Linked DNA regions of Saccharomyces cerevisiae S288C. The protein of the gene in region 1 binds, or shares a complex with, the protein of each later gene. Each region holds a gene or a part of one and is shown in the gene's direction. Other genes may lie near its edges. The genes, in order: RFC1 and RFC4.

The links.
Region 2: the proteins of RFC1 (region 1) and RFC4 are in contact, whole or in part, in a crystal structure (PDB 1SXJ), measured with the Saccharomyces cerevisiae proteins. Residues at the interface, in NP_014860.1 of Saccharomyces cerevisiae: Asp295 (codon at 2,572), Lys296 (codon at 2,575), Leu297 (codon at 2,578), Val300 (codon at 2,587), Pro355 (codon at 2,752), Gly356 (codon at 2,755), Thr360 (codon at 2,767), His364 (codon at 2,779), Glu376 (codon at 2,815), Asn378 (codon at 2,821), Ala379 (codon at 2,824), Ser380 (codon at 2,827), Asp381 (codon at 2,830), Val382 (codon at 2,833), Asp424 (codon at 2,959), Glu425 (codon at 2,962), Asp427 (codon at 2,968), Gly428 (codon at 2,971), Ser430 (codon at 2,977), Gly432 (codon at 2,983), Asp433 (codon at 2,986), Asn456 (codon at 3,055), Asp513 (codon at 3,226), Arg515 (codon at 3,232), Gln516 (codon at 3,235), Asn519 (codon at 3,244), Thr526 (codon at 3,265), Thr527 (codon at 3,268), Thr528 (codon at 3,271), Lys529 (codon at 3,274); in NP_014547.1 of Saccharomyces cerevisiae: Glu28 (codon at 2,532), Thr29 (codon at 2,535), Arg32 (codon at 2,544), Gln35 (codon at 2,553), Ile36 (codon at 2,556), Asp39 (codon at 2,565), Asn41 (codon at 2,571), Met42 (codon at 2,574), Pro43 (codon at 2,577), His44 (codon at 2,580), Met50 (codon at 2,598), Ile86 (codon at 2,706), Arg90 (codon at 2,718), Lys94 (codon at 2,730), Pro105 (codon at 2,763), Gly106 (codon at 2,766), His108 (codon at 2,772), Gly122 (codon at 2,814), Gln125 (codon at 2,823), Ala126 (codon at 2,826), Arg128 (codon at 2,832), Arg129 (codon at 2,835), Thr130 (codon at 2,838), Glu132 (codon at 2,844), Ser135 (codon at 2,853), Asn136 (codon at 2,856), Arg139 (codon at 2,865), Asn145 (codon at 2,883), Ser147 (codon at 2,889), Asn148 (codon at 2,892).

Annotation. Positions count from the first base shown.
Region 1 is NC_001147.6:747,612-752,386, forward strand, and holds RFC1 (replication factor C subunit 1), read left to right. Parts: upstream 1-1,689; coding exon 1,690-4,275; downstream 4,276-4,775. Other genes in the region: RUD3 (Rud3p), read right to left, coding at 1-1,368; STE13 (Ste13p), read right to left, coding at 4,603-4,775. UniProt on the Saccharomyces cerevisiae protein: Component of the ATP-dependent clamp loader RFC complex for the POL30/PCNA homotrimer DNA clamp.
Region 2 is NC_001147.6:141,084-145,005, reverse strand, and holds RFC4 (replication factor C subunit 4), read left to right. Parts: upstream 1-2,450; coding exon 2,451-3,422; downstream 3,423-3,922. Other genes in the region: YPQ1 (cationic amino acid transporter), read right to left, coding at 1-802; TRM10 (tRNA (guanine(9)-N(1))-methyltransferase), read right to left, coding at 1,310-2,191; HMI1 (ATP-dependent 3'-5' DNA helicase), read left to right, coding at 3,659-3,922. UniProt on the Saccharomyces cerevisiae protein: Component of ATP-dependent clamp loader (RFC and RFC-like) complexes for DNA clamps, such as the POL30/PCNA homotrimer and the checkpoint clamp DDC1:MEC3:RAD17 complex.

The DNA of each region.
Region 1 (4,775 bases):
CTCATTATTCGAGATCAAGCCGGCCTGTTGTTTCTTATCTTCATCCCAGTTTAAGAAATTGGACAGTAATTCAAGAACTTCAAACTTTCTTGGGTCTGCTCTGGGTATGGACACGAAAGATATCAATAGATTGGATATCAGTTCTTTATCAACGGATTCAGAATCGCTTGATTTCTTCAACATGGCCAGTGCCTTTGTTAAATGCTCATTTAGTATAATGGCTTCGTGACGTAGTTTTCCGATCTGTAAGATGTGCTGCTTAGATTCTTCCTCATATTTTTCCTTCATAGAGGCGTCCTCCTTCATGGCTTCTAGCTGTTTTTTCATGCTTTCTAAAGCTTCTGTGTCATTGTTGTGCGTTTCTATCTCCGTGTCAAGTTGGGATCGTAAAGATTTGACTTCCTGGTCTCTCTCTCTAGCCTCTTCTTCCCTTTTGTTGTCAACTTCTTCTATCTTCAATTCCAGATCATTTAGAGAATTCTTTAATACTGCTTTCTCCTTTTCATGGGATTCCAAAGCCTGTCTCAATTCATCTCTTTCTGTTCTCAAGTCAGATATATCTTGTTTATTATTTTCTAAGATTATCATGAGTTCCTGAACTTGGAGATTTAATTGATCTTTTTCCTTCCTGTAAGTGTTAAGTTCCTTACTATGTTTTTCAATTATGTCGTGTTTTTCATCTTCCAAAGCTTCTATCCTTGATTCGTATTCCAAAAAAACCTCTTCTGTACTTTCTTGCTCCTTTTCTAGGTTTTCTAACTCTGTATTTAGGGTCACAATCGTGGATTGTAATTCAGAGTTTTCGGTCTTGGTAGCTTCAAGTTTCTTCTTCAATTTCAGATTTTGTGATTCATATTCAGTAAGCTGCTCCTGCACTTCCTCTAATTGTTTTTGTGCTTCTTTCATCTTATTAAAAATTGATTTCATAGAAGATATCTTGCTCAATAATGTGTCATACTGTGTTTTGAATTCGTCTCTTTCCTTAATAACATTTGCTAGTTCATTTTTGAAGTCTTCATTAGGCGTTTCTTGATCCTTCTTGTGGCTTAGTTCCAATTTTAAACGTTCAATTTCTTCCCTTAGTTCCTTCATCTCATCACCAGCCTTTTTGTCCTCTAAAGGATTTATGGTGTCTACAGTCAGGCCGTCATTTACTTTTTGTTTGTCTACTCCTTCAGAGAGATCTTTCCCCTCATCGTCCGGGCTTGCCACGATACCATCAGCCTCTGGATCTGTGGACATTTTTGGAGGAACGGTGACGTTTACAGAATTGATGATTTCTTCAGGTTTATTGACGGTTTCATCAACGTCCTCCACATGAGGATGACTCTTGGCCTTCTTACCTGTTTTCTTCTTATTTTTACCCATTCTAATTAAAAAAAATGCAATTGTTTGAGGGGATCAAGTGGAAAGTATACACAAGCATCTACTATATAGCTGTTTATACAAGATTTTCTTGTTCTTCATGAATGGTCTTTCTGTTTGTTTCCATTTTTCGTATCGAAATGAGCACGAAATTCAAAAAGAAGTACTGAAAAAAAAATCAACATGAGAAGGAACAGCCGATCTCTCAGCGAAAACAGTGGCTTCGTTGAATACGCTGCTTGATCCTTACACAATAAGGAATTGGGTATCTCGCAGTTAATTTTATAACTTCAAGTCACTTCATAATAAACTAAGCTGAAGAAAATGGTCAATATTTCTGATTTCTTTGGTAAAAATAAGAAATCCGTAAGATCGTCAACATCCAGACCTACGAGACAGGTGGGTTCGTCTAAACCAGAAGTTATCGACTTAGATACTGAATCTGACCAAGAATCAACCAATAAAACACCAAAGAAGATGCCTGTAAGTAATGTAATTGATGTATCAGAGACACCTGAAGGAGAAAAAAAGCTACCTCTTCCCGCTAAGAGGAAGGCCTCTTCACCAACTGTAAAGCCAGCAAGTTCAAAAAAAACCAAACCCTCCTCTAAAAGTTCAGACTCGGCTTCGAATATTACGGCTCAAGATGTACTAGATAAGATTCCATCCTTGGATCTGTCAAATGTTCATGTGAAAGAGAATGCTAAATTTGATTTCAAAAGCGCAAATTCAAATGCGGATCCAGATGAAATTGTTTCTGAAATAGGTAGTTTTCCAGAAGGAAAGCCAAATTGTTTATTAGGTCTAACAATTGTCTTCACAGGTGTTCTGCCAACCTTGGAGCGTGGTGCATCGGAAGCTTTAGCGAAAAGATACGGAGCAAGGGTTACTAAATCAATTTCAAGCAAAACTTCTGTAGTAGTCTTAGGTGATGAAGCAGGGCCAAAGAAACTAGAAAAAATCAAGCAATTGAAAATCAAAGCCATAGACGAAGAAGGCTTTAAGCAATTAATTGCTGGGATGCCTGCTGAAGGTGGTGACGGGGAAGCTGCCGAAAAAGCACGTCGAAAATTAGAAGAACAGCATAATATTGCTACCAAAGAAGCAGAATTGCTTGTTAAGAAAGAAGAGGAAAGGTCGAAGAAGCTTGCAGCCACTAGAGTTTCTGGTGGCCATCTGGAGAGAGACAATGTGGTTAGGGAAGAAGATAAATTGTGGACAGTAAAGTACGCACCAACGAATCTACAACAGGTCTGTGGTAACAAAGGAAGTGTAATGAAATTAAAAAACTGGTTGGCTAATTGGGAAAATTCAAAGAAAAATAGTTTTAAACATGCTGGTAAAGATGGCTCTGGTGTTTTCAGGGCTGCAATGTTATACGGTCCTCCTGGTATTGGGAAGACAACTGCTGCTCATTTAGTTGCACAAGAGCTTGGGTATGACATTCTTGAACAAAACGCTTCTGATGTTCGCTCTAAAACTTTACTTAATGCCGGTGTTAAAAACGCTCTTGATAACATGTCTGTAGTGGGATATTTCAAACACAACGAAGAAGCTCAAAATTTGAACGGGAAACATTTTGTCATTATCATGGATGAAGTTGATGGTATGAGCGGAGGCGATAGGGGGGGAGTTGGCCAGCTGGCACAGTTTTGTCGTAAGACGTCAACTCCATTGATTCTAATTTGTAATGAACGTAATTTACCAAAAATGAGACCATTCGATAGAGTATGTCTTGATATCCAATTTAGAAGACCTGATGCTAACAGTATCAAATCAAGATTAATGACAATTGCGATCAGAGAAAAGTTCAAACTTGATCCAAATGTCATTGATAGGTTGATACAGACTACAAGAGGTGATATCCGCCAGGTTATTAATCTACTTTCAACGATATCTACGACTACTAAAACCATAAACCATGAAAATATCAACGAGATCTCAAAGGCATGGGAAAAGAATATTGCCCTAAAACCCTTTGACATTGCCCATAAAATGTTGGATGGACAAATATACTCAGACATAGGTTCAAGGAACTTTACACTGAATGATAAGATCGCATTATATTTTGATGACTTTGATTTCACACCCCTAATGATTCAGGAAAACTATTTATCTACAAGACCAAGCGTTTTGAAACCCGGCCAGTCACATTTGGAAGCAGTTGCTGAGGCGGCTAACTGTATTTCATTAGGTGATATTGTCGAAAAGAAGATTCGTAGTAGTGAGCAATTATGGAGTCTTTTGCCTTTGCATGCTGTTCTTTCATCTGTTTATCCAGCATCAAAAGTTGCCGGCCATATGGCGGGAAGAATCAATTTCACAGCTTGGTTGGGCCAAAATTCTAAATCTGCCAAATATTATAGGTTACTGCAAGAGATACATTATCATACAAGACTAGGTACATCTACTGATAAAATTGGACTAAGGCTGGATTACCTACCAACTTTTAGAAAAAGATTATTGGACCCATTTTTGAAGCAAGGTGCTGATGCAATTTCATCTGTCATAGAGGTAATGGACGATTACTATTTGACCAAAGAAGACTGGGATTCTATTATGGAGTTTTTCGTAGGTCCTGATGTGACCACAGCCATTATCAAAAAGATACCAGCTACGGTTAAAAGTGGATTCACGCGGAAATACAACAGTATGACACATCCAGTCGCAATTTACAGAACAGGTAGTACTATTGGTGGTGGTGGTGTTGGCACCAGTACTAGCACCCCCGATTTCGAAGATGTCGTTGACGCAGATGACAATCCAGTTCCCGCAGATGATGAAGAAACACAAGATAGTAGCACAGACTTGAAGAAGGATAAACTTATCAAGCAGAAAGCCAAACCTACGAAGAGGAAGACTGCCACCAGTAAACCTGGTGGTAGCAAAAAAAGGAAAACGAAAGCATGATTTATTCATACACTAAGATTATAATTACACTTTTCTTCTCATTGATTTTGTGAGCCGTTCTATCACAGATACGAAAACTGTGTGGTGATAATAGCTCGATGGGTATCATCACCGCCCTATATAAAATACTCTTATTAGTATAGTACACAAAATAATGTACCTGTACGTACAACCGTCGTTAAATATTACATTTATTAGGTCTAACATTTGTACCTAATATGTCATTCCAAAATTATGCGTTGCAATTGAGAAACTTCATATTATTATATTATTAATCGCGTGTTTGTCTCTATCGTTATCGTTAATATCGCAATCATCCATAAAGTTTTATAAATGCAAAACTTCAGTGTTGTCAAAGCGTTCAGCAAAGGCATCCCTTAACCAATAGTATAGTTTTTGGAATACAATTCTTTGAGCGTTGTGGTACCGGATGGAATGATCAGAGTCTGGAAAAATGTGCATGTCATAGTTCGTCAATCCCAATAGATTCAGTTGATCAA
Region 2 (3,922 bases), 610 kb from region 1:
CTAAAGAAATGACAATCACAGAGAAAATAAATGTGGTATTACCCAAACAGGCGAACAAAAAGAATAGGAAACTGATACCTTCACAAGACTTTCTCTTAAAATTCAGTAATATCTGAGGAATTCTTGAACCCAGATACAAAAGGGCACTTAAGTAACCGAATATCTGAGCCATCCAATTGATCTGCAGTTCGGGAACAGGCAGTGATGGATCCTCCACGGGAGGAGGTTGCGTGTAGTTTACGCAGTAGGTTACATACCACGAGATGAAACCTACAAAAACTACACCACTAACAATAAATATGTCTTTTATCAAATTTCTTGAATTGACTTCACGGAGATTATCATCACCAGCGTTTCCGTCGGATGAAGGAGCAGCCATTTCTTCATCAATACGATTTGGCTGACCTTGGGAATTCAAAAGCGGTTGTTGTTCATTGAACACATCGTGCAGAACGTTTTCGTTTATTGGATTGGCAGGGGAGAGATGAATAGGGTCTACTGCTGGTTTTTCCTCATTATCGTACCATAGACATTGACCTAGTAAAATGATATCTGCCACCGTATAGTAAGCAGCAAGAATGATCATGGTAGACAAAAGATGTTGCATAACGGCACCCATAAGGTTAAAGACATCGCCGGCCAACCAAAGTACCACGAACAATAAAGACAGCCCATCAGACGACTTCCGGTAAAAGTTCTCGTAAATTTGAGGGACAAACACAATGATCCAGCAGGAGATGGAGATGGACCCAGATATCCCACTTAGAGTGGATCTATTCAATTCTAGCGGCACAAGTTGCATAATTGAGGTCGTCGAGCGATGTGGTAGCTTTTTTTTTGTATGGCATTCTTTCGTTAGCAGTACATATCATCGCGAAGACGATTAAAGTACGTAGTGAATAAAAAGACGATATGTGAAAAATTGCAATCCGGGTAAAAATAAAAGAGTCATTAAGAGCAAAAATGACCATATTAGAGAATTTACAGGTAAAACACATACAACATCAAAGCAAAATAAGCAAAGAGAAATAAGAAGTATCCTCCCACGGCCCTACATTAGATTTGGACCTCTCGGACACTAAGATTGGTGTTGTTAATATTAAAAAGGGAATGCCATTTAGATTTCGAGTGGAGCCAGTTTCGGCGGCTAATGTCCAAGTACTATGATAAGCATAAACACCCTTTGAAGAACTACTACCAGTTGCGCATGTTTAACCCGTATCTCTGACATCAATATACACCTATTGTAGCTACGGAGACTATTACTATTTTGCTATTCAGTTACTAATAATACTACAGTGATGGCTGCCTATGTGTCCTTTGGAGCTGGCGAAGAGCTTGCGGATTTTGCTTCCGCATCCAGCTTTCTGGGTGGTAAAACGCTTTCAAAGGCATTTTTCCAGTTATGGTCATCAAAGTATTTCAGCATGAGTTGCACGACGTGCGTTGTCGTCAACACTCTTCTGCCTTCGAGATTGATGTACTCGTCAATGGGCAATCTTCGCGTAGGAATGCCCATCTTTTGGGCCTTCTTCAGACACAATTCTTTATAACGATTCTTGTCTACAATGCCGCCAACAATGTATCGCATCCCGGGTTCCAGCTTCTCCAGCTTTTCCTCTGTATCGGCCGTTAAATACACTATTTTGTCCTTACTTATATGCTCATCTCCAAACATGATTTTGTCGTCTGGTAGGAATTTAAAATGGTTCCAGTTTTCATAATTGGTATTTTTCAGAGTAGTTTCAAACCTTTGCTTTAGTCTTTTGTCGAATGGGGCCACCTTTATTTCTGCAAAATGGTTCGCCCTTCTATTCGCGGAGTATGCCCTGGTGACCTGGTTAGACAAGCTTACTATTTCCTTGTCGTTCATTAACTCATCAAAAGAACAGTCAAGTATGATCTCTATCCCAGAATCAGTCTGATTCACATTGATACGAGGCTCTCTAATCAATTCCTGCGGGACCTCTTCTCCCCTGTCAATGTATTCTTGAATCTTCGCACTTCTTTCATGGCGAAGTCTCTTCTTCTTTACACGGCGTTCCGCATTGTATTTGGCTTTATTCTCCTCCCATCTCTGTCTTTTACACATTTTTTTCCATTGCTTTTTAGACATGCCTTCTGGCACAGGCGGTAAAGGTGGTGTTCTTTTCACCTTTTCCTCGTTCTGGTTTATCTCATCATTGGACATGTTGTTTTGCCTGCAGATTGACACTTAATTATTTACCTTGAAAGCTTTACGCTATATTAAACATCACCATCTCTCTTAAAGACAATGAAAATTTTTCATTACCACATCACACTGTTAGATTAAACGCGTTTTTTCTTGACAAAAAGGTGGGAAAACCAACCACATATTTTAAATACTGTAAAATAGTAGCATTTATAAATCTGATTGGATCTATTATAACATTGCAGAGCTTCCCAGAAGATATAAAAAGTCCCTTATAATGTCCAAAACTTTATCTTTGCAACTTCCATGGGTTGAGAAATACCGTCCCCAAGTTTTATCTGATATAGTCGGTAATAAAGAGACCATTGATAGACTTCAGCAAATCGCTAAAGATGGTAACATGCCCCATATGATCATATCAGGTATGCCAGGTATAGGTAAGACCACTTCGGTACATTGCCTTGCTCACGAGCTCCTTGGCCGCTCTTATGCTGACGGTGTTTTAGAGTTGAACGCTTCAGATGACAGAGGTATTGATGTCGTCAGAAACCAAATAAAACATTTTGCCCAGAAGAAACTACATTTGCCTCCAGGGAAACATAAAATCGTTATTCTTGATGAGGCGGATTCCATGACTGCTGGTGCTCAGCAAGCGTTGAGAAGGACCATGGAGCTATATTCGAACTCTACAAGGTTTGCATTTGCTTGTAATCAATCAAACAAGATCATTGAGCCGCTGCAAAGTAGATGTGCGATTTTGAGGTATTCTAAACTATCCGATGAAGACGTTCTAAAACGTCTTTTACAAATCATAAAGCTAGAGGATGTTAAGTATACAAATGATGGGTTAGAAGCAATCATTTTTACAGCGGAGGGTGACATGAGACAGGCCATAAACAATCTACAAAGTACAGTAGCAGGACACGGTTTAGTGAACGCAGACAATGTCTTCAAAATTGTTGATTCTCCTCACCCTCTAATAGTGAAGAAAATGTTACTAGCCTCCAACCTAGAAGATTCAATTCAAATCTTAAGAACAGATCTTTGGAAAAAGGGTTATTCCTCGATTGATATCGTCACAACATCTTTCCGCGTTACCAAAAACTTAGCACAAGTGAAAGAATCAGTAAGATTGGAAATGATAAAAGAAATCGGTTTGACCCATATGAGAATTCTGGAGGGTGTTGGAACGTACTTGCAACTGGCTAGTATGTTAGCGAAAATTCATAAACTAAATAATAAAGCCTGATTTAAATATCCGAAAACTATAAAAAAAACTCCCATATTAGTGCATTACTTTAAATTCTACTTCTTTGTCTTGTCTCTTCCCTTGTGATGTGTCAGAATTTTTTTTTTTTTTTCATTTTTGCACAATTTAAGCTTTAAAGTTGTTTGTTGATCAAAACTTACAACTCGCAGTGCAGTTACATAGTCATAATATGTAGAAAAAATATAGAGAAGGTATACGTCGTTCGTTGAAGACAGATGGACAAGCTAACTCCATCTCAATGGAAGGTAATAAATAAGTCATATGAACCAGCGTCTACGATAAAAGTCATTGCGGGCCCAGGCTCAGGAAAAACGCTAACGCTACTATATAAAGTACTACATTTAATTACTGTGGAGAATATTAAGCCTGAAGAAATACTTATATTTTCGTTAACAAACAAAGCAGTTGATAGTATAATAGAAAATTTACTGTCCATTTTCGAAAACTCGCATACAAATAAGGAAATTGTCCATCAGATT